Elephas maximus indicus: one gene and its partners. The protein of the gene in region 2 interacts with the protein of the main gene of each other region in a pairwise test. Links are inferred from orthologs where the notes say so. Each region holds a gene or a part of one and is shown on either strand. Other genes may lie near its edges. The genes, in order: NR4A2, CDKN2D, NR4A1 and HSD17B14.

Region 1 (8,008 bases), on a different chromosome or scaffold from region 2:
GGCAATTAAATTACTTAATTGCAATTAAAGTCCTAATTTTAATTGGCAAAATGATAGATGTAGATTTAAGATAATATGTATAAATACTTTAATAAGTGTCTATATAAGGATTACTTAATTACTCAACTTCAAGTTTATGCTGTTAACTTTAGAACTTTTAAGTGAGCAATGAAATTTATATTACATCTATTCAAAGGATATGGTAATTAGATTTATTACTTATCGCTATAAGGGTGCTTGCTATAAGTTACTTTTGTAGTGTTAAAATTGTAGGCTTGATAATTGCAGAATTATGAGAAAAAGGGCATGTATTCCTTTGTTGTAATATATCAGTGCTTTATCTTCATTTTCTTGTTAAATGGAGAGTTTCCTATCAGTAAGGTTGAAGGAAAAAAATCAAAAGTGGTTATTTTATCATTCAAGATAGAACAAAAAAACTAGCCAGCTGTGATTTACATATAAAAACTCCGTTGCTAGGTGTATCCTTTTTATCTATTTAAGGAAATGTTATCTAATAGTGATATGGTTATTAATATTATTTACTACGTCTACGACTACAAGTGACCTTGATATTTTCATAGCATATAGCAATTTATTTTCAGAATCTTTATGTCTTTTAGGACTTCGCACATTTCAGTGAGTCCCATGTTTACTGAAATTAGCAATGAAATCTAAGGAAAATACTAAGCAGTTAACCTAAAAGATATTTAGGAGATGGTTACTATAAATTGAGTATTAACGAAAGATGAAGGATTTTTTATAATGCAAAATACTATTTGAGTGGCATGAGGTCTTACCATATGTTCAGTTTTAAAATTTTAATTTATAAGTAGATGCTTCTAGAAAAAAAAAGTGCTGTTTTCTTCTGCACATCCTTACACATTTCCAGAACTGAGTTCTAAAACGAAGTAAGAAATCAGTTTTAAAGTCTTTGCTGTAAGTGGTTTTTTGGTGACAAGTGGGCTAAATAAAGCTGAATAAAAGCTACAACTACCCAAAATGTGAATATCTGCTAAGCAATTGACTTAAGTGTCCTATATGGTAGGAACAAATGATTCAGTTGATTAATATCCTATCAATGCAAATGAAATGGCAAAAACAAAATAGCTGCAAAACCGCCTCAATATTAAAATATGATTTTGTATTTTCAGAAAGTTTTTCAAAGTGAAAATTTATTTCTTCTACCACTGCCATAAAACTGCCTGTCGAATGGCTAAAAATGCTGTGAATGCAAGGTTATCCAAATATAATTTAAAGTATGTTTCATCTTAGTGCTTAGAATAGGTTTCATTAAGTAATTTTATTATGAAAATTCTAAAGTTACCTTCACTCTTAGGGCATAACAGGTACGTCTGTTTCACTATATCTGCATTGAAAGGTCTATTCTGAGTTCATTTTGGGAGAATAGTGAAGGAAATCCCTAAAGGCCCCTTTCCCATGCATTAAGATAGAAAATCTTATGGGATTACATCCCTGTTTGCTTTCTAAATTATACCAAAAGCTGAATTTTATTAAGTTTAATCTGCTTAGCCATGCATAAAATAAAATACTTTGGTTTAGATGTAAGTGTATGTATTACTTATGTTGATTTTTTATAAAAATATTTTACTTGTGCCAATATGTGTTGCTCACTATTGGCTGGTATAAAAGATAATACAGTAACGTTACCTTCCTAAATGTTTTTTTGAAATCATCTAATAATAATATATATCAATAATAATAGTTTTCTGTTTTAGTTGGTTTCAAAAGATGGAGCTACTTATGGATAGCATGGATTTTTACTCCCATTTATTTTAAATTATTAAGAAAAGAAACCATTATGGGATAACTATGTATTTATACATAGCAATAATTTAAAGTTATATTAGATGTTGAACCCTGAGAAAAAAACACTATTGTCATTTTAATTAGGTTATAAAATGTTTTATTTGAACTGTTTATGTTCAAGAATCTTGAAGGATTGCAGTCATATAAATGCAGAATTTCGGTTTCTTTTAGCCTAAAGCATCATTTTAACATTTTCTAAAAGGTTGTTCAGTTCTACATTTTGATTCCATTATATGTGTAATTAAACCTCTGTGCACGAAAGTATTCTCCTATGTACTAGCAAGTACACCCACAGGAATCCTCTTCTAAACTATAATTTATTTAAACATGTAATCATAGGATTTGAAAACATGCCTTCATTTTTCCAAACAATACGCCAATTTGAACTGCTTGGTAATAAAAGGAGAGATTTTATACCAGTATGATTTTTTTTTTCTTCCCCTGTGACCTAACGGTGAATGAAAATGGGCAGGAGGAAATTTTAAAAAGAAAATGTGTTATAACTGTTTCTCTTCTTGAGAAAAATAGGAGAGAATCAAAGATTTGTAGCTATTTATGAATTCCAACACAATATGAATATTTGGGCCTGCAGTATTCTCTCCTCAGGCTTGGTCTAAGTAGTAGATAGTTGTGTATGTGTGTGTGCGAGAGATCGATCTTCTTGAACGTTGTGGAGTCAGGCCCCCTACTGACAGGATCAGTCAATTACAGATATTGGCGGTTCTTCTGGGATTTAAACCCATCAGAACCTGGTGAGGTAACAGGAGTCTGGACTTTGAAGGACGACCTTTCTTTACACTTTCTGTTCCCTGTGCTTGATCCATTTCACCCACAGCACATCCGCAACCTACCAAAAGTGCCAACCCAAGGAGTAAAAAAAAAAGGAGTAGTTTATCCAAAAATTGATTTTAGTCCTGGTACTTCTCAAGAAGCAACTTTTCCCAGGAATCAGAATAGGAATTTGGGAAAAGGATTGTAGAAGACAAAAAAGAGGCCCCCTTTTTTCTCAGTTTATGTTTAAGCACCCCATTCCCAGTTAATAATGACGATAAGCTTCTGTGAAAACTGTCCCGAGTACGTTAAGATTTGGGTAAAGCCTCTGTCAGATTCGACAGGTTGGTGTTAAAGAATAAATCACATTACAGTGTTTGGCTTCCTTGGACGCTCACTTTAAGAACTTTAGGACGCTTTTCCATTCCCTGGGAGGGAGTCCTTAGGTGGTTCCCAGACTAAACCCAGCACAAATCTGGATGTGTTTTTAATCACAATGAGGGAGAAGTGAAGGGAGCGAATGTATCTATTTAGATGCTCGTATTAGTGTCTGTATGAAGAGTGGTGGTTACAACTTTAAAGTTCTCTCGGCCCCCGCTTTCCTAAGACTAGATTTAAAAAATAATTTGCCACCCTAGCTTGGCCAAGCTTGCGTTTCCGACTGTCTGAAATAGCTTCCTGGAGCCTGGCCCACCGCGGGGATCAAGGAAAGCTCCCCCTCTGGCCGCGCCCTGCTCCCTAGCGGAAGGGGAAGGGAACCTGGGAGGGCGCCATCCACGCTGGAGCTACTGCTATTTTTGGGCCCCGCCGGGCGGGTGCGTCAATGCCTGCGCCCCTGCGTCACCGCCACCCCCACCCCCTTCCTTCTCCCCAGCTTTCCAAACTCTCACTTTTTCCCTTTGGTTCGCGTGGACTCGCTTCTGCCCACGGGGTGCTGACGCTACGGCGCTCATGCTAACAAGCTATTCTTCGCCCTCCTCCCTTTCTCCCCGGTACTTAAATATACTCACCCACCACAATAACATACCCTGCACACACACAGACACACACACACAGACACAGACACACACACACACACACACACACACACACTTCCTGGTTTTATTTTTTTCTCGCGCCCCCTAGGGCACCTCGGAGCTGCACCAGTGGTAACAGTGGTAGCGGCTACCGCAAAGTCTGGGGAAAACTTAAGGTGGACACGTAGATTTCCCTGAGGCTGCGGCGCAAAAAAGCTTTCCGGGGCAGCTGCTGTGTACCGAATGGCAGCGCCTCTCCAGCCGCCGAGGAGCAGGGGGCAGCGGGAAGCGTGCAAAGGCGGGAGTGCAGATTAGGGCTGAGCATAGTTCCACGGAGGGGACGCGAGTGGCAGAGGGGCCCGTAGCAGCCCGCAAACAGGCCATGCCGAGGGAGGAGGGGCTGCTGGAGCGCTCTCCGCGGGTGGGGAGCGTCTCCGAGCTCTCCGCTAGTCCCAGTCTCTTCCAGCCCCACGGGAGAAGCCCCAGGAGGCCCTCCTAGCTCAGGCCGGCCGGGGGACCTGGAGGGGGGCTCGCCCTCTGAAGAAGCGGTGTTTACTTTGCTAGAAAGCGCCTTGCCCTCTCAGCGTTGCGGGCGGATTGACTCGCTAAGCAGAGTCGGCGGCCACCCCGCGGGCTGGGAGGGTCCGCTCCCACCTCCTGCCCGGGTCCCTCGCCTGGAAGAGCTGAGCGCCCGCACCTCACGCTTCACGGAGACCTCCCCGCCCTCCCCTCCTCCAGCCATAATGTCCTGCGTTTCTCCGTTGGCCCTCAAGTTGACGCGTGAGAACCCTGTGTTACAGCGGAAGGTCAACTTATTTCCCTAAAACTCATGTAAGGGTTAAGAGACGGTGGGCGCCGGGGTGTGCTGAAAGTATTACAGTTGGCAGAAGGTGGGATCAGAGCACCTTCCTGCAGAAGGCGCACCTGTTGCCTGCTGCTCGGCTGCATTGTCTGAGAAGGGAAAGCGGTCGACGCTTCACTCTGATTCTGGGGTTCCTGAAGGGCTGGGTCACTGTCCACGCTCTTCCTTACCCACCCCCTCCATACACTGATTCCTCCCTTGTATGTGGGCACTGCAAAGAAACAAGGCAACGCAGAAACATAGCCTCTACTCTCACCCTCTTCCCTCCATTGCAGTGTGTGTGTGTGAGAAACAGAGACAGAGATACAGAGAGAGACAGACAGGGAGAAAGCACCTAGCAGGGAAATCCCTCCCCAACAGCCTGAACCCTTTGACCATCTTGTGTCATGGGACATTTATCTGTACGCGCTTCCGTTGGGGGGGGGGGGTGAGGAGTGTGGGTGGGTGGTTAGGGCACTGCACTGCACACCCCATCCCTTGCTGTTTCAGGTGCGGGCTACCTGGCCCACACCAGGGGTCCCTTCCGCCCAGCCTTTTTTTTTTTTTTTTTTTTTTGCATCCTCCTCGCATGTGAGCTGCGCTGCAGCCGCGATGGGCGCGGGGGCTTCGGAGACGGCGAGGTGTCCAGGTTCTGCGAGCTGCGCGGGCTTGGGTGGAGAGATCACACCTCTTTCAGAAAAAAATAAATAAACCAAGCCAGCTACCAAGGTGAACCCAGAACGGTTCCCACCTTAAAATCTGCCGTGCTCGTGACGTCAGGTCGGAAATATACCAAAGCCAGCGCGGGCCAGGAGTCCGGGGAGCGCGGCTGCAAGGCGATTGGGCCACAAGCTGCTGACGCGCGCTGACGCGCGGAGACTTTAGGTGCATGTTGGCAGCGGCAGCGCGAGCCACATAAACAAAGGCACATTGGCGGCCAGGGCCAGTCCGCCCGGCGGCTCGCGCTCTCCTCCTCGGTCCCCGCTCGCCCGCCTAGCCGGCCGCCTAGCCCTCTTCCTTTCCCGCTCGCGGTGTCTCTGCTCCCTCTGCCCCGCTCACCCGCCCCTCCCCGACCCCGCCACCCGGCTCCCAGAGGGAATTGCACTTCGGCGGAGTTGAATGAATGAAGAGAGACCCGGAGAACTCCTAAGTGAGTAGGTGCAGCCCGTGAAGCTCGCGTTCTTTTATCCTCCTTTCCTCTTTGCGTGTGTTTTCTTTCTACTCGTGTGGTACACGTTCTCTGAAAGTGGGAGCTAGAGGCGCGGAGGGCGAGCGGGGCCAGAGAGTGGGGAGAATGGATGCGCGTAGCTACTGAGAGTGCTCGTCAGAACTCAGGCTTTGGCACTAGGGGGGAGTTGGTTCCAAACAGAGGCTTCCCAGGCTCCTTACTGGTGGAAGTGGAAGGGGGACTTGCACGTTTCTGGGAGTTGCAGGCTAGCCCGCGGAAATACGCGCAAAGTTTGCTCTTAAGATGAAATTGATTGTGGTCCTTAAATACGGAAATTCCAAGTCGTGCGTATACGAGGGGCCTGGACGCTGCCCGCAAAGTGACAGGGAAAGTTCTTCAGTTTATGTGTTGCTTGGGAACAGTGTCACCGCGGCTGGCCAGCGTGCCCGTGTTTCCCGAGTGTTGTTGATTAAAGGTGTTGTTGGTAGAGTGTTGTGCTACTAAGTTACCTGAAATTTCTGAGTTTGACATATGCCGGAGAGAGAGAAATACAGAGACAGAGGATGTGTAGAGAGTACAGTTATGAAGCTGCAAAGCTACCCGGGGATTAATATTCTACACAGACATCTCTCTGAACGAATGTGAGGATCCAGTTCCCTTTCTTTCAGCTATTTTTTTCTGGTCACCCCCCCCCCCCCCCATGAAGCAAGGTTTTGAAGAGGATGGAAAAAAACAAAACAAAACAGGAGTGGATATTTGGCTTTCTTTTTCATTAGTAATAAGATTATCTAAAAAAAAAAAATGCTCTAGAATGCCTTCCAAGTGGGGACATCTGAAAATTACTAGAATACAAGTATTCCTTGTTCCAGCAAGTAGGCAGATCAGGGAAGGCTGTACAGGGAAGTAGGAAAGGTATTCAACTTACCATACTGGGAAGCACTTTTAACATTGATGCCAGTACCATGTAAGGAATATTTCCCTCGTTCAGCAGCTGGCTTAAGATCCTCCTGGAAAAGTAGGGTCCCCTCTTTCTACTCCTTGGCCATTAAAAATAGTGTGAAAGACAGGGTTCCTGGAAAAGTGAACACCAGTTTACTTGTATCCATAGTGCTGAAGAGCAATCCTAGTGCTCTGTCGAAAGCACTTAGGAAACCCAGATGCTTCAACTGGAATCAAATGGTCTTTCCCTATGTCCAGACCTAACACTCTAACCCTTGGTGGTTTTGTTTGTTTTCCCCCCTCATTTTATATTCTTAACTTTTAACTTTCTTCCCCCCTCCCAAAAGAAAAGCCAATGTTACTGAAAAAAAAAAAAAAGAAGTTTTTTTTCAAGAGAAGTTTCCAATGCTTCATTTGATTAAAGTCCAGACTTCTGATTCAGGCCTGTTAAACTAAAATGGAAACATGTCCTCCACAGCTTCATTACACCATAAGTGTTAAGTATAACTACATGCAATACATTTCTTCCTTCATGAACCCTCTCTCTGCAATGATTTACACAGTGCAATGGGTGGCATTTTCTGTTGTTTCCAGACATCTCTCTTACACATTCATTCTATCTGCTGTGTTTGGTAAAGGCTATACACTGATTTCCAATGAAACAAACTGGGAGGGCATTGGAGGGCCTGCCTGATTGAGTCTACTTATGTCCTGCGGAATCTCTGGCGGGAAAGTTGTCCTGACGCTTCCTGTGTCTGTATTTCAGGGAGCAGATCTGAAAGGCTGGACTCCCCATTGCTTTTCTAAAAATCTTGGAAACTTTGTCCTTCATTGAATTACGACACTGTCCACCTTTAATTTCCTCAAAAACGCCTGTAACTCGGCTGAAGGTTAGTGCAACTTCATTTCTTTCCCTCCCTTCCCAGAGTTCCCTAACGTCAAGAGACTCGGCAACGCTATTTCCCCGGGCAAACCCTGTAACTTAAGGCTTCCCGGAACTATCACCTTTGGGAGCAACTGCCTAATTGTGCAATTCAACTTCAGCGGAGTGGTTTCTAGAACGAGATTTCGGAGCCCGAGCTTCAGAGAGGCTGATCAGAGCGGGGTTGGCTATGAAGGCGGGCGTGGGGGGGTGTTTGGAACTATCCGGGAGTGTGGACCCTCAATAGCTTTCTAACTCCGGGTCTTTATGTGCCCAGCCCTTCCTCGCTCGTCCTGCACTGTTTTGGCTGCGGCACTCGCGCTCTCCCGCCCTTCTTTTCGCGCCCCTGCTCTCTCTGTCTGACCGCCGCGGGCTGCCGGTGTAGCTCCAGGTGCACCCGAGCCGGGGAGAAAGTGTTCAGTTGACCAGGCTGAGTGTATATTACCCTGTTTCATTTCCAGCCATGCCTTGTGTTCAGGCGCAGTATGGGTCCTCGCCTCAAGGAGCCAGCCCCGCTTCTCAGA
Region 2 (7,120 bases):
CCGGCATGGCGGCTCTTTTGTCCACTGCGCAAGCGCGACGCAGGCACCTTAAAGGGGCGGGGCTGCGTCCGGCCCGCCCACCGTGGATTTTAAGGGAGCAGAGTCCGGCCCCGCCCCCGATCCTTCCGGGACGTGGTCCTCTCTTTGGCGAAGTCCCCGCCCATCGGTCACGCCCCTGCGGGGAAGGCCGCGGCCACCGCCCATTCCCCCTACTCGGGGCTCCGGGCACCCAGCTGACATCTGGGGGCCCTTTCTCCACTCGCGGTTTCCTGCCTCCCTTCCGTTCCGACAGCGCAAACCGCTGCCCCACCCAGCTCACTCACCCCTGCTACCCTGGGAATTACCGCTCTCTCCCCTCCCCCACAGTATCGGCGCTCCGCGAGCCACCATGCCTACCCCCACAAACATCGCCATCCCAGACACAGAAATCTGAAGCCACCCTCGCTGTGGTCATACTCAAGTCTTAATTTAATGGATAAAAACATTAAATTATCACACTGAACAATTTCTTCAATAAAGCTTAATAAATAGAATCTATTTTTTCAACACTGTACAAGAGACTGGATAACAGGCTTTCAACAAAATATAGATGAATTCATGCCACCCCTTTATGGATTTGGAACTCTGCCCCCACCCCATGTCCAAAGCAGTGCGCACCCTTCTGGTCTCTGGGCGCAGTCGGCCGAGGTCGCCAGGTGCCAGGAGACTTGGTGGCGATGACCCGATGACCTCACTCCGGGGCTGGGTCTTTAACGCTCTGCCCTGGTCTGGTCTGCAGCCCCAGCAGCCTGGGGCGCGGAGGAAACTGAACCGTTTAGGTGGCTTTTGCATGCAGAAGCCCCACTCTTTCCAACACACCAAAAGGGGTGAGAAAAACAAACGAGAAACGCCCCCCAAACACACACACACCCAGAAATCAACACCAGCAAGCCACAAACTGGCGCCCCTCCCCCTCAACACTGGACAGTAGGAGTAAGAGGAGAAAGTGTTTCTTCCCTCCTCTTCAGAGATGTGCTCAGTGAAATCCTGGTCACAGTGGGGCCACCAAGTGCCCTTGCAGGATGTCCATGAGGTCCCGAGCCCCTCTCTGCTGCGCCAGCTCCAGGGGCGTGAGCCCCCTGGCGTCCCGGTGATGGAGATCAGACTCAGCAGCCAGGAAGCTGACCACCGCGGCGTGACCCTCCCGCACCGCCAGATGGATTGGGAGTGCCCCGGTGCCATCAGGCGTGTTGACATCGGCGCCATGTTCCACTAGGACCTTCAGGGTGTCCAGGAATCCAGTGCGAGCTGCATCGTGGGCTGGAGTGGTGCCAGAGACATCCTGGACGTTGGGGCTGGCCCCTTGCTTCAGCAACTCCAGGGCGATGGTGGGACTGCCGAACATCATGACCTGTGTGGGGCAGAGGGTGAGGGGTTCCCCCAAGGAAGGGGACCCAGAAAAGGGGGTCCCAGGAGAGAGAAGGGTCTTCCAAGAGCAGGAAGGAGGCCTGTTCCAGAAAAGGAGTCCTTTAGGGAACAGGAGAAATCCCAGGGAACACAGCCCTAGGGGGAGCTTTTTGAGACCCCAGAGAACAAGACCTTCTGGGAAAAGGAACCCCAAGGAGCTAGGCATTGCCCTAAGGATAAAATGAAAACTTCCTAGGGAATAAGCCCTATGGCAACTTTCAAGGAACCTAAGCTTCTTCCTAAGAAACTGGAGACGACCACCAACACCCCACTCCACCCCGGAAATAGGATAGTATAAGGAAATATGAAACCTCTTCCAGAAATGGGCCCTCAAAGAACCTGACAGCCCTCTCAAGGGAAAGGGGGATGTCCAGGTAATTTGAATCGCCTTCTCCAGGGAATATTCCCCCGCAATATAATGAGGATGCTGTCCATATTATCTCGAGAAATTGAATCCCCCATAAAATGTCCCCCAGAGAATAAGGGACAATCCGAAACCATCCCCCTATTGGGGGAATCTGCAAACCCCCGCAGGGCTGGAGACCTCCAAGTAACCGGATACCTCTCAGAGAACTCCCCCCCGAGAAAATGGGGATGCCCTGGAAACATGAAACCCTCCTTCTGGAGACCGCCTCCCCCAGAGGTAGGGGAGCACCCCAAAACCAGAGCCGTCCCCATGAAACCGTGACCCAAAGATGTTGAACCCCCACTAAAAAAGGTCCTCCTCAGGGAAAGTGAATGCCGCTCACCCAGGGAACAAGGAATCCTCCAGAGAAGATGGAGAACCCTCCCCCTTCGCCCAACCTTACCCTCCCCTCCCATGAAAGGGGACCTCAGAGAGCAGCGTCAGCCCAGTGAAGGAGGAAAAGCCCCCAGTCAGATCCCTCCAGGTCCAGCCGACGAGGGTCAGGGGTCTGGGGGCCGCGTCCTCTCCCCGCTCCGGGCCGGCCCGGCCTCACCTGCAGCGCCGTCTTGCCGAAGCGGTTCAGGGCGTCGGGGTGCATCAGCTCGCGGTGCAGAAGGCGGCGCACCTCCTGCACGTCGCCCCGGGCCGCTGCCCCGCTCAGTCGGTCGCCGGCATGGACCTCCTCCAGCAGCATGTCGATGCTGGCTGCCTGCGAAGCCCCCCGCCCCACAGCGGCTGGTCAGCGCGGGGGAGTCCGTGAGCGCCGGCCAAGCAGCCTTCCCAGGGCCTGGCCGCCGTGGCTCGGCCTGCGTGATGCTCCCAGCTCAGCTCGCAGGTCTGGAGCTCCTGCGCGACCCCCAAGCTCCCGCACGGCTCCTCCCTCTGTCAGCCGGCGAGTGGCGAGGGGCTAGGAGCCGGGCCCAACCCTCCTTGGCCCAAAGGACTCAGCTCGGCGCCCGCCCCTTGGGGGCCGGGTCTCCCCCCTACTTACCCACCCTCCTCCTCGACGGGCGGGGTCTGCTCTGAGCCGGCGCCGCCGTCGCCGCCGAGCCGGCCCCCCGGGGGGCGGAGCCACGGCGCTCGCTGCCCCGCCCCGAACACCGCCGTTTTGTTTTTTTACGAACTCGCTACAATGTAGCCAGGCAGAGCTGCCCGGCGCGCGACCCTGCGGCGCCCCGCCCACGAGCCCCTCGCAACCAATGGTCGTGAGTCGCCGGGGGGGTTTCGTGCTCTGGCGTGGAAGGTGTCGCTTCTGATTGGTCCGGACGCGGCAACCGTAGGCCGCTGGCAATGGCGGGGTTTTCGGTTTTCAAACGCGCCTGGCGGGCGGGAAAGAGGGCCGGTTTAACTGACCCAGCGAAGAAAGGTCAGGGGCAGGGTAACGCGGGCTGCGCCGGGACCTCGGCACCTGGGCGGGGGGAAAGGAGGCAGGGCTGGGGCCGCCTAGCCCGGGATTCCACCTTTCGGTCACGCGATTAGCGTTTTGGGTGGCGTAGAGGTTAAGTACTACGGCTGCTAACCAAGAGTTCAGCAGTTCGAACCCGCCAGACGCTCCTTGGAAACTCTTAGGGCAGTTCTACTCTGTTCTATAGGGTCGCTATGAGTCGGAATCGACTCAACGGCAGTGAGTTTGGATGTGCTGAGCACTATTTCATTCATTCCCCACTGTGCACTGCACCGGAACTTTTTAGGGGGGAGCGCACACAATGAAATTCAGTCATTTTAGGTAGCGTCGAGCACCGTGACAGAAGTAAAACGATGAAATGGGGTGGGTGAGGAAGGACTCACGTTCTGGATTCAACAGCCCACGAGCCTAGGAGGAGAGTCGTGGCCAAAAGCCGCTACAGAGGCCTCCATTCAGAGATTTACTGATCACCTACTCTGTGCTAGGCACCCTCCACTGCCTCAGTCTAGGGCGGGAGAAGACAGTAGTTAAATCTTTTCAGGGTCTAAACGCTATATAGCTGATAAGACAGGATAAGTGGTAGCTCCTCGGGAAGGGAAATGCGGAGGTGAGGGAGGTGGAAAGGGAGCCATGTATACGTGGGGAATGCGTGCCAAGGCAGAGGGAACTACCCCTTGCGCCCTGAGACTGAAGCGCACCTGGTATGTGTCCAACACCTGAAACAGAATGAGTGAGGGGGCATTGGCCTGTAGTTTTCTTTTCTTGTGGTGTCTGTCTGCTTTGGGTATCAGGGTTATGTTTGCTTCATAGACGGAATTAGAAAGCATTCCTTCTCTGTCTTTTGGAAGAGTTTGAATAGTATTGGTGTCAGTCTCTAAATGTTTTGGTAGAATTCTCCGGTGAAGCAAAGGACTTTTTTTGTTGTTGGTAGGTGTTCGATCACTGATTTAATCTCATCACTTGTTATGGGTCTGTTGAGACTTTCTATTTCCCCTTGAATCAATTTGGGCAGGTTGTGTGCTTCTAAGAATTTGTGCATTTCATCTAGGTTCAGGGGCAGATTACCAAAAAAGCAAGGTAAGTATGGGGTTATTTGTGCTTACTTACTAATGTGTAGTGAACAATTTCACATTTTTTCAACTTATCAAAGATTCTGCTTCTAGGTATGGCTGGCACCTGTCTCTCTCACAACCCCACAGTATGTTCCTATAAATTCAAAGCCTCTTTTTAAATTTACAATCCCTGACAGGGATGGATTATCAAAAATGTGGTGGATTGTTCACTACACATTAGTAAGTATGCACAAGTAAGAGTGCGCTTACCTTGCGTATTGGGTAATCCACCCCATCTAGGCTATCCAGTTTGTTGCCATACAGTTGTTCATAATATTCTGTCATAAATCTCTTTATTTCTATCAGGTCGCAAACTGTCAAATTTGTGTATATTTTGCTGTATGTATTCTCAACACAACAACAAAAATAAATTTTTTTTAAGTTAAAAACAGAAGAAGGGGGGAAAAAAAGAACAAGGGGACAGAGGAGGAGAGGGGCTGACCAAGACTTAAGGGCTGCAGTGAGGACTTGGCTTTTACTGCTAACAAGATGGGAACCTTGGGAGGGTTCTGAGCAGAGGCAGGAGCTGACTTAGGCGTTAACACGCGCCCTCTGGTGGCTGGAAGGGGGAGAATAGACTGGGGCCAAGCAAAGACGGGAATAGGGGACCAGGGTCCAGCCGACCGCCATGGCCCAGGTGAGCAATGATGGGCACCGAGGAGGTACATGAGCTGCCCACTCTCATCCAGCACCCCAGGGACGCACACACACAGCCAAGGAAGCACATACACAGTGGCTAGACTCATCTTTTTAATAACATCCTAAAACTCAGTGGAATGGGCAGCGGGGCCTCTGGGCTCAGCAGCTGTGTTGGAGGAGGGGCCCTGACATCCGCTAAGGCAGGTCACTGCAAGAAGGCACTCGTGAGGGGGCTTGAAGCCCCTCCCCTATTTCTTCATATAAAATCAGAGGGAAGTCCCAAGGGAGAGGGAGGCAGGGAGACCATCCTTCCCAGCCTGTGGGTAGAGAAAAAGGTGAGCAGGGGGCCTGATGCTGGGAGCTGGGAGAAAGACACTGGCAGGCCAGGGGCCTGCCCTCATCTCCCCAGGATCTGCGGCCGGCTCCTGGGGAGACAGAGGTCCCACACTCTCCCATGTCCAAGCCCCCGACTCTTCTGGCTTCTAGCTGGTACGAAGTTGATAATCTGCAGGGAAACAATGAGCTAGGCAATCTCCAACTTGAGGGAAGAGACAGAGAGACAGCTCCCCAAATCCATCCCCCACTCCGGTGCTCATGATCAACCCCAGGAGTATGTAACAAGGCTAAGGATGAGGTTAACGCAGGGGCGGTAACCATATCAATGGGCCTCTTTGTAGGCAGCAGATGGGGTGCTGTATGCCCAGGCCCTCTTCCAAGCCCCAAGACCACCCTACAGCTGACAACTACCTCCATTTGAAAGATAGGCCAAAATAAAGGATATCATCCGTGAACACGGTGCTCCATTAAAAAACTATTTGAGACCAAAAGGTCAACAATTACTCAAAGCAAAGGTGAGAAGAAGATAAGGGGGCAGGGAAACTGGAGCGCAGGAAACCGAAAAACCAGAACACAAAGAGAACGTTGACACATTGCGAAAAATGTAACTAACATCACTGAATAGTTCATGTAGAAATTGTCAAATGCGAATCTAATTTGTTGTCTAAACTTTCACCGAAAATACAATAAAATATTAAAAAAAAAAATAAAGGCAGGCAAACCAAGCCCCAGGGTGGCAAGGTGACACAGGGGCTGGCCTGGGCCTATGCCTGTTGAGTTTTGGAGCCAGAATATAGTCAAAACCTTGAGGCCTCATCTGCCTGACCCTGTCCCAGGGAGCTGGGCTGCCTTACCTCCACTCTGGGTGATGTAGCGAACCCAGGGCAGGGCCTGGTAACCACTTTTCTCAATGATCTTCATATATCGGACCTGGAAGGGGATGAATAGAAAGGTGGCCCAGGCTGGGCAGAGTGAGTTGGCCCAGGCTGGGGGGAGTGAGGTGGCCCAGGCCGGAGGAAGAGGTGGCCCAGGCCGGAGGAAGAGGCGGCCCAGGCCGGAGGTGGGGGAGAGGTAGCTCAAGCTGGGGTGAGGCGATCAAAGCTGGAGGGACAGTTGGCTCAGGCTGGGGGGAGTGAGGTGGCCCAGGACAGAGGGAGAGGTAGCCCAGGCCAGGGGTAGAGGTAGCCCAGGCTGAGGGGAGTGGGGTAGCCCAGGCTGGAGGGAGTGGGGTGATCCAGGCCAGGTAGAAGGAGGTGGCCCAGGCTGGCAGAATTGAGGTGGCTGGGGCCAGAGGCATATATGTGGCACATATTGGGGGAATAAGGTGGCATGAGTTTGAAATAATAAGGTAACATGGCTTGGCTTGAAGGGGAAAGGGATGGCATAGCAGTGTGTTGGGGTAAAGGGGGGTTTGGACAGAGAAAGAGGTGACACAGTGCCTGGGAATAGACAGGACATGATTTGGGGGGCTGGAGGTAGCACAGGTGAAGGAAATGGTGGTGAATGTCTTGCAGACAGGGGAGCGAGCGATGTGATCAAGGTAGCCAGGGAGGAGGTTGCACAGGCCAAAGTGGGAGGTGGAGGGAGAGGAGACCCAGGCTGAGAGCAGAAGTGGCAACACTGTCCAGGGGAGGGCAAGGAAGACTACAGAAGAGAGGTGATACAACCCAGGGACAGGAAGTGACCCAGGGCAAGAGATAGGAAAAAAGAACCCACTAGGGTCAAGGAGGGGAGCCTCCCTGCCCTCTTCCCTCACCTGGATCCCAGAAACGGTGA
Region 3 (7,244 bases), on a different chromosome or scaffold from region 2:
GTCTGGGACATCTGGGAGGGCTTCCAACCTCAAACAAAAAGCAAAATCAGGCTTCAGGCCTGTCGCAGCCCACAGGCTACACCTGCTTCCAGAATGACACTATCGTTCTCCCATACCCCCCAAACGACTCTGTAGTTAGGCCTTAAGGGTCTCCTCACAGCTGGGGAAGAAGACAGCAGGGCAGGGAGGGCCAAATACCCTCGAACCCCAGTCAGGCCCAACCAGAGAAGAACCCAGGTCTTCCCTGCCTGTGTCTGAGGACAGGGCCCAGAGTGTGGCACCCAATGTTCAGAAAGTGATTCATTACACCTTAGAACAGGTATCTGATACAATCTCATGTCCCAGATTAAAACTCCTTCCTCAACACTCATTCCAAAAGAATGAGCAAACCAAGACACCTGCAGCTCAGGAGGTCGTAGTGGGGAGAGGGACACAGAAAGAACCAAAGACATTTACAAACAGCCCTGTGCCTCCGAGGGTGGGCCAAGAGCTGAGTGAGCTCGGAGGAGAAAGTGATGCCCACAAAACGGGGAGGGAGCATCAGGCTGCCCCAGCTCTGGCTCCCCTCCCCTCCCCCCCGGCCACTCCCCCTCTCCCCCGCACCTGCACCTTACCTCCACTCACTGTGTTTCAGTCACGTGAGCTTTCTTCCCCACCTCAGGGCCTTTGTTCCCTCTGCCCAGAAAGTCACTGCCCGGATGCCTGCAAGGCTGGCTCCTCATCCATCAGGTTTCTATTCCCCTTGTCACCTCCTTAAAGAGCCCCCCCATACCCATCACACTATTCTGTTTTTAGAACATAAGTAAGGACCCTGCCTGACGCCACCACGGCCAGTCTTCAGTCTCTAAAACAGTGCTCAGCACTAAGTGTTCCGTAAGTATTGTGGAATGGGGAGGGGTACACCACCCTCCTGAGAGGAGAGTCAGCGAGCTGTCTGGAAGGAGACGGGGAGGACATTTGAGCTAAGGAGCCAGACAGCTCCCAAAACTGCCTCTTCCCCTTTGGGGCAGATCAGAGGATCTTTCCTACACTGAGTCACAGCCCAGACTCTAAAGGCCTCACAGCCCTGGATCCCAGCTCTACCTCCTGCATGAGCCCACAGAAGACCTTCTTCTCCTTCCTACCAAGTATTTGAGTCTTTTATCTAAACGCTCCTGTGCAACAGTATATGGTTGACAGACCTTCTGCAGCCCTGGTGGCCTCCTGGGCACAACCTCTGCCTATGTCCCCACCCTGAAATGGACATATACTAACAGTAATAACAGTCACTAATACTTGTCAAACACCATGCTCCATACATTGTGAAGCGCTTCACACGCATGTTCTCATTTCAGCCTCGCAGCACTATGAGGAAGGATGTATGCACATTTACCAACGAGGAAACAAAGGCACAGAAAGGTTACACAACTTGCCTGAGATCACACAGCTAGGAACTGGCAATGCTGGGATTAGAACCCAGGTAGCCTGACCAGGGAGCCCAGGGCGGGGTATCACCATGCCCCCTGGGACCTGTGCAGTGGGTAGAGGCCTCAGATTGCACAGAACAGTGTGACAGACCCCACCCACTGGGCAGCTGAGCCAGGCCTCTCACCAAGCCTGACTCCTGAGATGACTTTCTGAACTCCAGCCCAGGCCTGTAAACACTTACCATTAGTCACATTCATCTTGTCAGTTTTGGCCCATCCTTCTGCCCTATAGCCCACATTTGAAATCTTCATTTTATGGGTGGTGCAGCGGTTAAGTGTTGGGCTGCTAATCAAAAGGTCACCAGCTGTTCTGCGGGATAAAAATGTGGCAGTCTGCTTCTTTAAAGATTTCAGCCTTGGAAACCCTATGGGACAGTTCGATTCTAACCTATAGAGTCACTATGAGTCGGAATCGAGTCAATGGCAATGGGTTTGGTTTTTTGGTACACTTGTCATTCCTCCCAGCTCTGGGTCAGAACAAAAAGTCAACTGGCTTCCCCTTTAAGTCTTCATCCCAGTGACTGATCTAAGTGTTCCCTTGGAATGTGTCTGGGACCATGCTTTGTGGCCACCACTTGAGCCCCTCTCCAGGGTGATATCTGTCCCCCAAACCATCAGCACCTTTTAAGTATAACAGTTGTGAATCTACCTGCCCCTGCCCATTCTTCATTTTCCCGACAGGCCCATAATACTAACCCCAAAACGCAGACCAGCACTTCACTGTCAACAAGACATGCCACCTCTGCAGCATTTCTGTGTCCACCAGTCCACTTATCAAAAATGGGCGCATAAAAGGAGAATCTGTTGAAGTCAAGGAACGGAGCTCTCCCCTCAACACCCCCCGAGGAGGTGCCGCTCTCCCCAAGTATGAGGTCGCTGTTGGGAAAGAGGGTGCTGCGGCAGAAAAATACGCTGTCATGGTAGATGTGGCTCCTGAGTCCCAACCCTAGCCCCGCTCCTGACCCCATAAGACCCTCTCTGGGCTCGATTTCCAGGCTCAGACCCACTCAGGGGCTGCGCAGGGCAATTCCGGGCCCTCCCGCCCCGACCTCCTGGCAGCCGAGCTCCGGAGCTCCTGGAACTCGTTCCCCGCAGCCGGCGGGGATATGGAAGGAATTTCTCGGGCCTGGCCACCTCCAGCGCCCCTCGCGGGCCAAACCCCACCCTTGGCCGGCTGGGAGAGAAAGGGTTGGCCGTCGCACTTGGGGGCTGACTCTGAGCCAGCAGGTTCCGCTGGGAATCCAGTCCCCCCCTCCCCCCACTCTCCAGTTTCCAAGCAAGACTCCCAGCGTGGCCCTGAGCCCATTGCAGTGCATCCGCGAAGACCCCGTAGACCCCGTTCCTCCCCGGGCCTCCCCCGGGGACCACCGTGCTCCTCCCCAGGCTGCCCCCTCACCTGGCAGGGAGTGCTTGCCTCGCCTCTCCACCCTAGCTTTCCGGGGTCGCGCATCAGCAGACGGGGAGCTGCTCTGCACCGCAGCGGCGCCCATACCCGGAGGCCGGGGGGCGCGGGCGCCGCGTGGGGGCCCCCGCTAGTTCCGCCGCCGCCGGCTCGCGCTCCTGCCGCCGCAAGGCTGCGGCTCGGCGCCCCCCGCCCCCAGGAAGCCCCCGGCCCAGCAGTTCCGGCCGCTGCCGTGCCCCCCGCCCCCGCAGCCCGCGGCCGCCCGCGTAGCCATCCCAGCCTCGGCGCGCCTCCCCCGGCGGGCAGGCGGGGACCGTGACGCGCGCCCATTGACGTCTCCGGAATCCCGGCGGCGGCGGCCGACGCAGCCTCATCAATGGGGCTAAAAATAGCGGCGCCCGGAATAGCCGCGAGCGCCCCGCCCCGCGGCACCCCCCCTCCCCAACACACACAGGCTGCACACACTGTTACATAACCCGCCTCGCTGGGGCCGGGGCAGAGGGGCTGTTTTTCACAGGGTTCTGAGGCCTTGCTAACACCTAGCGAGGCAGGAACCCGGAGCCAGGTTATAAATAAACTTACCCGGGGCTTCCCCCGAGGAAGAAGTGGAAAAAGAGGCCCGGAGAGGCTTCGCGGCGGCCCAAAGTCTCACAGCAGTTAGGCTGGCTTTAGATGACAGGGCCCCTGACTGAGCCCTGGGCACCCACACCAGCCTTTCTTGGCCTGTATGCCACCCCAAGGGCAAAGAAGCCAGGTAAGAAGAGTGCCCAGCTCCCAGACAAGAAGGCAGATTAGACAGAAAGAGGACTTCTTGAGAGAGTGAAATTTCCCCTGAAGAGAAGCAGTCCCAGACTTGAGAATGCGTGCAAGGGCAAAGCACACGTGATGGAGTCACAGACCTGGCTTCTCTAGATCATACGCATACCACTGTGTGACCTGGGACAAGTCACTTAACCTCTCTGAGCCTCTGTTTCCTTACCTATAAAATGAGGATGATAAGACTGTCTCCATCTTGGTTGTTTCTTTTCCTTTTTTTTTTGTTTATTGGAAGATTAAGCAGCTGTGAAGTTGCCCTGTACACAGTAGAATGAATTTCTCCTCCTTGCTCTCCCTTAGAAGTCCGACTTCTCCAATCCTCAGGAGTGCTTAGTGCAGGAAATACACAGTGGCCAGGAAGCCCTGAGAGACCCACCCTCCTCTGACTGTAGTCTCTGTCACAGATTGAATTATGTCCCCCCAAAAAGGTGTGTATCAATTTGGCTGGGCCGTGATTCCTAGTATTGTGTGAGTTTTCCTATATGTTGTAATCCTGCCTCTATGATGTTAATAAGGGAGGATGGGTGGAAGTTGTGTTAGTAAGGCTGTATACTCTACAAGACTGGATTGTGTCTTGAGGCAATCTCTTAAGATATAAAAGAAAGAAGGGAGCAGAGAGACAAGGGGACCTCATACCACCAAAAAAGCTGTACCAGGAGCAGAGCATGTCCTTTGGACCCGGGGTCCCCGCACGAAGAAGCTCCTAGTCTGGGGGAAGATAGATGAGAAGGCCGACAGAGAGACAAAGCCTTCCCCTGGAGCTGACACCCTGAATTCGTACTTTTAGCCTACTTTACTGTGAGAAAATAAACTCTTTGTTAAAGTCATCCACTTGTGGTATTTCTGTTTTAGCAGCACTAGATGACTAAGACAGTCTCTAAGTGCAGGCTTCCCCAATAAGAACCTTCCTGGTGGTGGGGGTGCTTGGAAGATTTCTCTGTCCCACCTGACTGGGGCATTCTTTGGATATGGGAGAACTACCTTGTCCTGAGCAAATCCTTCTTCCCCAACAGCTGCCTGCTCAGGTGTATCTGTGGGGAGGGGGTCGCCAGGCCAAGGCCTGAGCAGTGGCGCTTGGGTCCGGCTGGGTGGGGTTGGGGGTCACAGCTCCTGTATGCTGGGCGGCAGGGCCATTGGAGAACAGTCATTAGCGAGGACCCAGTCCTGTGCTCTGCTACACCAGCCACCGGTCCCTGCTCACTTTTGGAGTCACTTTAAACTATGAACACGAGATCTAATCCCCAGCACCCAGGCCAGGCCCCACGCAGCAAAGAATGCCTTCTGCACTCTCCAAAGGAGGCCCCACACCCCACTCAGCCCTCATTCCAGGGGCCACATTCTTCTCCCCACCCCCATACCCACCCCCACAAATCCTTTTCTGGACCTACCCTAAACTCCTGGTGCAACTCAGAAGCCCCTTTCTCTCATTCCTCATAATAATTCCAAGAACCTCTGGTTTGTTCCAAATCACCTCCTCAGAACCTTCACATTTTTTTCCCAGATACAAGTGTTAGGCCAATTTACAGATAAAGAGAGGCTTCAAAAAAAATAGCTGAGCGGGGGAAGCCAGGGGACCAGCTTTTTTCCACCCTCCACACTCCCCTCCTTCCTGCCTCAGCAGCTGCTTCCTAATGGGTTTCTTAAACCACTACCCCACCCCCTCTTTTTCTTTTCCCAGAAATCTAACTTTTGAAATACATTCTAAAATATTTGCCTGTGTAGGAGAAATACATTTATTTGGACAGGAAGGACTAAGGAAAAAAAAAAGGGCTCAGTTACCAGTTTTTCCATGAAGCCTTCCAGCCCACAGAGGTCTCTCCCTTCTATAAATACCTTAGCACAACTTGCCTTTATTTTAAACTCCCCTGCTTTATAATCAAAACATATATTAAAACATGCATGGATAAAACACACGCACTGTGTGGCTTGTGGTGCCAGCATGAGGTGGTGAAAGAAGCATAGACTCAAGAGGCTTGGGATCCACATTGGCTCAAACTCTTCCCAGCTGTGTGACTTCAAGGAAGTTACTCGCCCTCTCTGGGCTTCTCATCTGAAACACAAGTGTGATAACATACGTATCTCGAAGGGTTGTCATAAGTAATGCATCTTTGATAATAGACATAAAACATGTAGCAAGGAGTTGGGCACATAGTGGCAGGGCTGCCGTTTCCACAGAGGAGGACTTGCGGAGGCCATCTGGTGGGAAGGCAGGGCTGGGGAACCTGTCTTGAAGCTGCACATGCAAAGTGCCTACCATGGCTTTGCCCAGCTGGTATGTTTATGTAGGGAAGCTGCGGGGCAGGGAGGGCTGTGCAGTTGGGGGTTATGCCACCCCTTAGTGCCATTACTGATGTACAGTAAATTCCAGGCCCCTTGTTGTCTTCTGGAGTCCCTAGGTGGTTAACGCTCTCAGCTACTAACTGAAAGGTTGGAGGTTCAAGTCTACCCAAAGGTGCTTCGGAAAAAAGGCCTGAAAATCTACTTCAGAAAAAACAGCCACCGAAAATCCTATGGGGTATAGTTCTACTGTGACACATGTGGGATTGTCATGACTCATAATTGACCCCACAGCAACTGGTTTGTGGCTTTGCTGTCTTCTTGACCCAGGTCACTCAGCTAGTGACCAAGCCAGGACCACAGCCCAGATCTTCTAACTCCCAAACCAGTGCTGTTTCTACCCACCATCTTGTTCCTTCATGCCTAGCCCTTCCTCTTTCTACACAAATCCCAGGAACCATTGTTGTGTGCCACTGAGCCAATTAGAACTCATAGCGACCCTATAGGACAGAGTAGAACTTCCCCATAGGGTTTCCAAGGCTGTAAGCATTTTGGAAGCAGACTGCCACATCTTTCTCCCGCTGAGTGGCGGGTGGGTTTGAACCACTCACCTTTCAGTTAGCAGCCGAACGCTTAACCACTGTGCCACCAAGGCTCCTTCAGGAACCCCTACACAGTCCATACTGCAGATGAGGAAGCTGAGGAAAGAGAAGCTACCTGAATAGTTTGGGGGGGGGGGTTGGGGGGGCAGGCACTTTGGCCAGTGTTGTCCTGTCTTCTAGGAAATTCCTCAGGGAGGTGCTGTGGCAGAAAGCTGGTTCCTAGTCTGATGGGGAGGCAAGAAACAAGAATAGGTATTAAAATATTGTCAGAAGACCAGGAAGCAGCCTCTAAGAGGTCTCAAGCCAGCACTGCAGTGGAATCTAGAGAGCTAGTCTGAGAGGCCTCACTGGAGGAGGAGAACATGGGGGCACAGTGTGCAGGGAGGGAAAGGACCAGGCAGGGCAGAGAGAAGGAAGGGCATACCACAGTGGAGAAGGGCTGGCCCCAAAGCTGATAGGTATTAGGGGGCAAGGTAGGGATTCTGGAGATGAGGAGCTGTGAGCTGCAGGACCCAGGACAAAAAGTCAGACCCTTAGTGGTCTTCACTATATGCCCCTCAATCTTACATTATCAGAAACCCTTGATCCAACCCCACTGAGTCAGGGAGATACCATTCCTCCCCACCCACTCCCTCCCACTGCAGCAGGGAGGAGCCAAAGGATGTCAAAGGGGTTCTTGTA
Region 4 (7,917 bases), on a different chromosome or scaffold from region 2:
TGCTTTATTTTTCTCACAGTATGCATCGCCCCAGACATCCTATCATATCCTGGTGTTTTATTGTCTAGTTCCTCACTCTAGAATGTGAATTCCATATAGAGGCAGGAAAGTTTTCTCTGTTTTGTTCACTGCTAAATCCCCAACAGGGGACAGTGGTGATTCAAGGTAGAATTCTCACTTTCTATATGGGAGACGCGGTTAGATTCCCTGCCAATACGTGGGGTCAGTGGAACAAAACGCTGCTCAGCCCTGCACCATCCCCATGATCGGTTGCGGGTTAGACTGTTGTGTCCATAAGATCTTCATTGGCTGATTTTCAGAAACGGAGCAACAGATTTTCCTTCTTAGTCTGGAAGCACTGATGAAACCTGTTCAGCATCATAGGAACGCGCAAGCTTCCACTGACAGGTGGCTGGTCCCTGAGCACGAGGTGCATTTGCTGGGAATCAAACCCAGGTCTCTCGCGTGGAAGACAAGAATTCTACCACTGAACCCCCAATGACATCATTTTAGAGATGTGAAAACTGAGGCACAGAGAGGTGAAGACACCAGCTTGGGGCACACAGCAAGAATGAAACTGAGTCAGGATTAAAGCCCCAGCCTGGGGGATGCCATAGTTGTATTGTCCTGCCCAAAGACATAGAGAGGTATAGAGGAGGATGAGGGAATCGGGGTCAGAAAAAGGGGAAACTGCAGTGCAGGATGAAGGGGAGGGTAAAAGGAGGTGAGCTGGCTTTAGGGCAGGTTGGCCTTGGGGCCTCACAACTCACGGTAGCCAGCATTGTTGACCACACAATCCAGGCGGCCGAAACGGCGGACAGTCTCAGAGATTAGGGCCTGGGGAGAAAGAGACACTCAGTGAGGGAACAGCTTGTGGTACCAGCCCCTAGGGGGGAGGGATCCAAGGATCCTAAGAGCAAGGCAGGGAGGGGAGCTAGAGAAAGGGTGAGACTCTTTCAGGGTAATCAGGCATGTGAGGGTACTTATGGCCACACTGCAGTGTCATTTCAGAAATGCAGAGAGAAGGAATGAGACCTGGTTGGGAGGTAGCCAGATATGCAGAGTGAAGAAGATAGAGACCCAGAAAGAAAGGGGGACAGAGACCCAGAGAGAGATGGATACAGAGACCCATAGAAAAAGGGGTACAGAGAGACTCATAGAGAGGGGGACAGAGACCCAGAGAGGGGGACAGAGGCCCAGAGAGATAAGGAACAGAGACCCAGAGAAAGAGAGGGGGCCAAAAACCCAGACAGAAAGGGAAACGGAGACCCAGAGAGAGAGGGAGACAAGCGGACAGAGACTCAAAGAGAGAGGAGGACAGAGACCCAGAAAGAGGGGGATAAAGACCCATAGAGAAAGGGGTACAGAGACTCATAGAGAGGGGGACAGAGACCCAGAGAGAGAGGGGGACAGAGAACCAGAGACGGGGGACAGAGGCTCAAAGAAAGAGGAAGACAGAGACCCAGAGAGAGGGGGTCAGAGACCCAGAGAGTGAGGGACAGAGACCCAGAGAGATACTGATTAGAGGGAAGGGATAGAATCCAGAGATGGAGGCAGGGACTGTTAAGAAGGAGACCACTTGGAGGAACTCAACCATGTGACAGGTGTGGTAAGAGCCTTTAGGATGTGGCAAAGAAAACAGAATTTACTCAAGGGACATGTGATCTGGCCGGCAGAATCAGAAGAAGTCTCTGGGCAAAATGACATGGTCTGAATCATCTGGGACAGATACAAAGGACAGATAACCAGGAGAGAAGGAAAGGGAAAGGAAGAAGGAACAGCAGGTACAATAGCTCAGAGGAGAAAAAAGGCAGAGACAGAGAAAGATGGTAACATTTGGAGCTGGGGAGTGTGGATAGAAAATGCACTCACCTCCATGTCTTCCTCCTGAGTCACATCACAGCGGAGGAAGACAGTGCCAGGAAGCTCCTGCTCCAGGGCCCGGCCCCCACACTCTGCAGGGAGAGAAGGGCTGTGAGCCTCCACTCCTGGATCTGAGGGAGTAGGGGGCTGGGACTCCCGGTTCTGAAGGAGGGGGCTGGGAGCCTGGAATCCTGGGTCGGAGGGAGGAGGAGGCCAGGGGTCTGGACTCCCACGTCTGAAGAAAGAGAGGGCCAGGACCCAGGATCCTCGGATCTGAAGGAGGAGGAGACTGGGGGCTCAGGCTCCTGGGTCTGAAGGAGGAAAGGTTGGGGGCAAAGACTGAGGGACTCTCACTCACCATCCTTGTCACAGATGACCACGTGGGAACCGCTTTCCACTGAGAAGAGGAAAGGGAACAGGTTACCCCAGCACAGACCTGGTGAAAGCCTCTGCTGCCCCCTTGTGGCCACCAGGAGAGAGGGCCGAGCAGCCCTCCCACCCCTCGTGACACTCAAGTCTCATGATGATCCTCTGGGACAAAGGGCAAAGGCCCCAACATCTGTTTTGCTAGGCTACTCCAGGTGCCTGCTAAGGGCTCCCAGGCCCCCGTCCCCGGCTCCAGAGTCAACCCTAAGCCTGCAAGAGATACCTTCCCCAAGCCACCTGTTTTGCAGCCCTAATACCCGAGATCCCAAGAAGGGAGGAGCTGCCTTTAGACAACAGAAAGATCTCAAAATCTCAAGCCCCAGGCTACCACTGAAAAACCCTACCTTAGCCTGAAAATTAGAGGAGTCCTGCTGGAGTAGTGGTTAAGAGATCGGCGGCTAACCAAAAGGTGTACAGTTTAAATCCACCAGCTGCTCCTTGGAAGCCCTATATGGCAGTTCTACTCTGTCCTACACAGTGGCTATGAGTCGGAATCCACTCGACGGCAGTTAATGGCATGAAAATTGGTTTTTTATAAGAGTCTTGACTTCACTATTGGGGTCCTTTCCTCCCACTCCTATCAGCCCCCGGGCTCCTCTCCCAGAACCCCAAACCCAAGCACGCAGACCCCAACTCACCGAAGGCACGCACGATCCCGGCTCCGATGCCGCGTCCGCCCCCTGTTACAATGACCACCTTCCCAGCGTAGCGCCTTCCCGTGGCCATTCCGCGTCAGCTAGTCTCTTCTGTCTGCCACTCCAGGCCTCTTTCCACCTCCGAAGTCCCCTAAGGCCGTCGGGGTCAAGTCCTAAATAGAGGCTGAATCTTGAAGCCCGGCCCCAGGGGCGGTGCCAGGAAAGCCTCAGACCTGGGAAGTTCAACCCCAGCCCCCTCCACCTTCAGATCAAGAGTCCAGGCCCCCTCCTCCCTCAGACCCAGGAGTCCCAGACCTTGGCCCCCTCCTCCCCCAGACCTAGGAGTCCGGCACCCAGCCCCCTCCACCTTCAGATCAAGAGTCCAGGCCCCCTCCTCCCTCAGACCCAGGAGTCCGAGACCTTGGCCCCCTCCTCCCCCAGACCTAGGAGTCCGGCTCCCAGCCCCCTCCTCCTCTGACCCCGGCTCCTTCCCTCCTCCGATCTAAAAGTCCCGTTCTCTCTGGTTCCTCACACCCTGCAGTGGGAGCCGTCAGTCCCTTCCTCCCTTGGAACCTAGCAATCCAGGACTCCCGCTCTGCTCCTTCAGAAGCCTCAGTGTCACAATTCCAAACAGACCAAAAAAAAAGGGCTATTCACTAAAAGTTCAAAGTTTAATTCAAACTTGGACAGCGTCGGGAAAACAAGTTTTTGGCTGCGGAAACCACGCTCTCCTAGCTACCGGTGGGACTCAGGCCACACCCCCAGGAGCCTTGATTGGCTCTAGATCTCTGGGCGGTATCTCCAGGCCACACCCCGCGCTTCGATTGACAGACGTTTGGGTCAGAAGCTGGACTGCAGCAGAGTGACTCTCAGAGGCCACGCCCCCTCGGCCGAGGTCAGGGCGGGAGGGGCAATACCAGACTGCCACGTGGACTCCCAAGGGGCGGGGCCCACGCTACGCCCGCTACCCGGGCTTGAGGGCATCGCGGTGCGGGAATTAGCCACGGGAGGAGATCTTGGGGGAAAGGTAACCCGGGGTGTGGGGTCTGACGGAGGCGGAGGCGCAGGGGAAAGAGGATCTCCCCGGGCGTCCAAATTTCCACCTGGAGAGGATGAATGAGGCATGAGAATGGCAAACTTCTCGATCGAAGAGTCTAGATCCCCAGGCATTTCCTCTCAGACCCAGGAGTCCGGCCCCTCAGCCCCTCCTCCCTCAGCCCCTGGAGTCCAGGCTCGCAGCCCGCAGCCCTCCTCCCTCAGATCCCCATTCCCCCCAGAGCCTGGATCCCCGGACCCCACTCCCGTTTTGTCTGGGACCTAGAAGTCCCAAGTCCTGCCCCGCCCTTCCCTCACCAAAACAAATGATTCCTGGCGGCCTCCAAGCCCCTGCTCACCAGGACCTAGGCTTCCAGGCCTCCAACTTCCCTAAAACCCAGAAGTGCAAGGCCCCCAAACCCTCACCTGTCATCATTCTGTGCCACTGCGACGCCTCAGTGGCCAGGGCCTGGGAGAGGCTGAGGACCCTCTCCCGGTGACCGTCGGATGTCGGCAAGTAAGGCCTGGTGTTCCTCGGGCTAGACCGAAGGAAAGTTGGGGGGACGGCGGGGGTGGGGAGAGTATGTGCAATTAGCCAGTATAGTGAGGACCGCAGTGCGGCGCGAGTCCTTCTGGGAGTCGTAGTCCCAAACACGTGTCTCTGAAAAAACTAAACATGGCGCTTCCCACATGAGCCCACATGCATTATAGGATTTGTAGTCCCATCTACCAGATTTCCTAGAAGGAGGGGCAGGGTTTGACAGCCACCAAGATGTAATGGAAACTGCAGTTCTCACTGCGGGTCTAGGGCTTTCTGATTTTGGTTCACGCATCCCAGGAACTCATTCGTCTCTAAAATTCTGCAATGTGTAGTTCTGTAGTTGGGTGCTTTTAGTAATAATGTTGCTTCCCTCCCCTTTGGCAAATTAATTTCCCTGCTCCCTTGCCCTGCCCTCCAGTTCCTCACCTACTCCAGGACCCGGAGCTTCTGAGCCATTTCGGGGCTCCCGAGTGTCCCAAGGAGTCTACGGCAGGCTGGGAAGGAATCGGGGCATTAGGATTCTTCACTTGGAAGCCCCATGTCCTCATTTGGAGGGTAAAGAGAAGGGGCTCAGAGAGGAGATAAAATAGCCGAAAGGCACTGACAATGTTAACCTTTACCTGACGCCTGCGCTTCCGGAAGAGTGAAGGTTAAAAAAATCCCTCCACTTTTTTGTGTTCCAGGCAATGATTTGCTGCAAAGAGTGCCCTGCCTCCTGTGACTTAGATAAGACTCTGAATTACCTACTCTGAGCCCAGACACGTACCCTCCAAATTTCCGTCCTTTGTTTCATAAATGATGAGTCAAACTGTTTGTCACCCTGAAACTAGCTAGACACAGAGCTAAACATTTCCTGTTCAGTTGACTGTCCGAGACTCTCCCAGATTGCACAATCTCAACTGTAAAGCCCTCCACCTATAATTTGTCTGTTGTTGTGAGCTGCCATTTAGCCAGCTCGGACTCACAGAATCAGACTGTTGTGATTCATAGGGTTTTCTTTGGCTTATTTTTCAGAAATAAATTGCCAGGCCTTTCTCCCTAGTCTGTGTTAGTCTGGAAGCTCTGCTGAAACTTATTCAGCATCATAGCAACATGTAAACCTCCACTGCACATAAGGTGCATTGACTGGGAATCGAACCTTCCTCTCCCACATGAAAGGTGTGAACTCTACTCTTCATAAAAGTCTGAGATAGAACCACCAGAGTGGGAAAACCACTCTGATACTGGGTTCTGGGGTGCTCTCCCAATGGCCACAGACTGAGAACAATCAATTTCCTTATATTTTTTACTATTTTGCCTTTGACAACACATAGCAGCTGAGAAGAACTGGTCTTGGAATCCAGACCCATGGCCCAAACCTGAAGAGAAAGCGCTGGTGAGGTGGCAGTGTTGTCTCTGCCGCTGCTCCACCCACCACCAGGTGGGCTGGGAAGCAAACTAGCACAGGTGAAAGTTGGGGTGAATCTGGAAACTAAATTATGGGTAAGGAGGTGGTAGAAAGCATCCCAGTTTTACAAAGAGGGAAACTGAGGATCAGGCTAGAAGCAGAGGACCCAGAACCATGCCATCTCCCCACTCTCCCCATCTGTTCTCCTCACCCGTTGCTCTAGGTCAGGCTGGCGTCTGGCTGGGGACAGTGTCCTCCCCAGAGTAAGAAGCCTGGGAGTGGTGGAGTGAGGGAGGGACCGTCCACCCTCCTGGTGTCTGCGCATGCGCTCCAACTGCTCCTGGGCACTCATCCGGGGCCGGGGCAGGGGGGCCTGGGAAGACGAGAAACACAGACTCCAGCCTTGGGCTACCAATTTCTTTTTCCGAACCCCTGGACCTCCAGTCTTGTTCCCTACAGGACCCCAGAGGGATCTTCCTACAGGCAAAACGGTAACTGTCCCTGCTGTGCGTAAACGGAAGCCCAGCCAAACACTCGCACTTCCCTGGCCATATCAAGCCTCCTCGCCTTCTAGCATCAGGACTCTGGGTTGCTTGTGCCAGAAAAACAAAACAAACAAACAAAAAAAACTCTAAACTAGCAGCAACAACAGAAAAGAAGGGATGCGATTTGTTGGCTAACAAAATTATCAAGAGGATAGGTTGGGGGGGGAGCTTAGACATGACATCATACGCTCTCTCTAGCTTAGACATGACATCATACGCTCTCTCTAGCTGTCACTGCCTCTCTTTGCCTCAAAACCAAAGAAAACTAACTACTGTCTCGTAATAGAAAACCCCCAGAGGACAGCTGAGATCTGCAGCTCATCCCGGAACCTTGGGACCAATCACTGCAGGAAAGAGGATGCTTCACTCCAATTGGGGCAATTCTGAGTCACATGACCACAGGCGACACTGACAGCTAGCGGAACCACGTGGCTGGAATAAAGAAGGAGCTATTCCCAAAAAATAAACGGTCGCTATGAGTCGGAATCGACTTGACGGCACTGGGTTTTACTCCCAAAATAATTGTAATTCATAGCTTCCCTGCCAATCCTTTGCCCATCAAGCACGCTGAGAATAAAAAAGTTCCCGTGGTCCTAGGGGAAGATGGAATGTTCTGTATCCATGATAACAAAGAGCCACCAGAAATTATTTTAAATAGGGTTATTGGAGCAATTACAACTGGTTCCCTAACCAGGCTTCTGAGAGCCAACCAACCAGTGACCCCAGTGACCTGAGCGCTTCTGAAAATGAACCAACCAGCAGCAGACACACAGCTTCCAGAGCTTGTTATTGTTGCCTGACATCAGTGGGTTTCAGCTCACAGCGACTCCATTCGACTGAGCAGAACTGCCCCACAGGGTTTCTCAGCTGTAATCTTTATGGGAGTGGATTGCCAGGTCTTTCTCCCACAGAGCCGCTGGGTGGGTTGGAATCCCTAACCTTTCAGTTAGCAGCTGAATGCTTAACCATTGTGTCACCAGGGATCCTTTCCCACAGCTTAAGGACAACCAATTCCTAAGCATACCTGCCTCTGAAAGTCCAGCATTTTCTGAACTCCACACTATATGAGACCAACTCTCTGCTTTGCTCAGGGGAACTGTATCTACCTTGCTTAAGCAAGTAAGAAAATCAGCTTTTTGTTTTCCATACAGAGTGGTGGCCTGTTTATTCATCACCTCTGTGTCTTTGCATAGTCTGTTCCCCGTGCTTGGAACACTGTTTTCTACATGGCCAAACCTTTTTTTTCCAGTTCATCCAGACTCAACTGAACTATCTTTTCAAAGGCTTCTTCGGTGCTCTGAGTCCATTACATGACTTATCCTTATCTGAGACATATGATGTGTTGGTTAATTTTACGTGTCAACGTGGCTAGGATATGGTTCCCAGTCATTTGACCAAACACTCGTCATGATTAATGTGATTAATCAGTTGGCCTTGTGCAGAGCAGATGACCTGCCATAATGCAATCTAAAGTATGTAATCAGT

What was found.
Region 1: the proteins of CDKN2D (region 2) and NR4A2 interact in binary tests that used the Homo sapiens proteins (3 or more experiments, as listed by UniProt). The two-hybrid records come from large-scale screens. The link is inferred for Elephas maximus indicus from reciprocal best matches to the Homo sapiens genes CDKN2D and NR4A2.
Region 3: the proteins of CDKN2D (region 2) and NR4A1 interact in binary tests that used the Homo sapiens proteins (3 or more experiments, as listed by UniProt). The two-hybrid records come from large-scale screens. The link is inferred for Elephas maximus indicus from reciprocal best matches to the Homo sapiens genes CDKN2D and NR4A1.
Region 4: the proteins of CDKN2D (region 2) and HSD17B14 interact in binary tests that used the Homo sapiens proteins (3 or more experiments, as listed by UniProt). The two-hybrid records come from large-scale screens. The link is inferred for Elephas maximus indicus from reciprocal best matches to the Homo sapiens genes CDKN2D and HSD17B14.

Annotation. Positions count from the first base shown.
Region 1 is NC_064824.1:53,560,851-53,568,858, reverse strand, and holds the start of NR4A2 (nuclear receptor subfamily 4 group A member 2), read left to right. Parts: upstream 1-4,998; 5' UTR 4,999-5,574; coding exon 5,575-5,605; exon of another isoform or gene 5,606-5,609; intron 5,610-7,328; exon of another isoform or gene 7,329-7,452; intron 7,453-7,945; coding exon 7,946-8,008. UniProt on the Homo sapiens protein: Transcriptional regulator which is important for the differentiation and maintenance of meso-diencephalic dopaminergic (mdDA) neurons during development.
Region 2 is NC_064821.1:28,616,084-28,623,203, forward strand, and holds CDKN2D (cyclin-dependent kinase 4 inhibitor D), read right to left. Parts: upstream 2,850-7,120; 5' UTR 2,547-2,849; coding exon 2,406-2,546; intron 1,391-2,405; coding exon 1,031-1,390; 3' UTR 515-1,030; downstream 1-514. Other genes in the region: protein KRI1 homolog, read right to left, coding at 1-7; AP1M2 (AP-1 complex subunit mu-2), read right to left, coding at 5,491-5,513, 6,199-6,274, 7,101-7,120. UniProt on the Homo sapiens protein: Interacts strongly with CDK4 and CDK6 and inhibits them.
Region 3 is NC_064822.1:107,448,006-107,455,249, reverse strand, and holds the start of NR4A1 (nuclear receptor subfamily 4 group A member 1), read right to left. Parts: upstream 3,005-7,244; 5' UTR 2,863-3,004; intron 2,685-2,862; exon of another isoform or gene 1,649-2,684; intron 1-1,648. UniProt on the Homo sapiens protein: Orphan nuclear receptor. Binds the NGFI-B response element (NBRE) 5'-AAAGGTCA-3'. Binds 9-cis-retinoic acid outside of its ligand-binding (NR LBD) domain.
Region 4 is NC_064829.1:99,266,616-99,274,532, forward strand, and holds the start of HSD17B14 (17-beta-hydroxysteroid dehydrogenase 14), read right to left. Parts: upstream 3,016-7,917; coding exon 2,928-3,015; intron 2,261-2,927; coding exon 2,222-2,260; intron 1,956-2,221; coding exon 1,873-1,955; intron 838-1,872; coding exon 771-837; intron 1-770. Other genes in the region: PLEKHA4 (pleckstrin homology domain-containing family A member 4), read right to left, coding at 3,765-4,027, 4,386-4,629, 6,099-6,260. UniProt on the Homo sapiens protein: Catalyzes the NAD(+)-dependent oxidation of L-fucose, yielding L-fucono-1,5-lactone, which rapidly converts spontaneously to L-fucone-1,4-lactone. Can also act on D-arabinose and L-galactose, with lower catalytic efficiency. Does not use NADPH.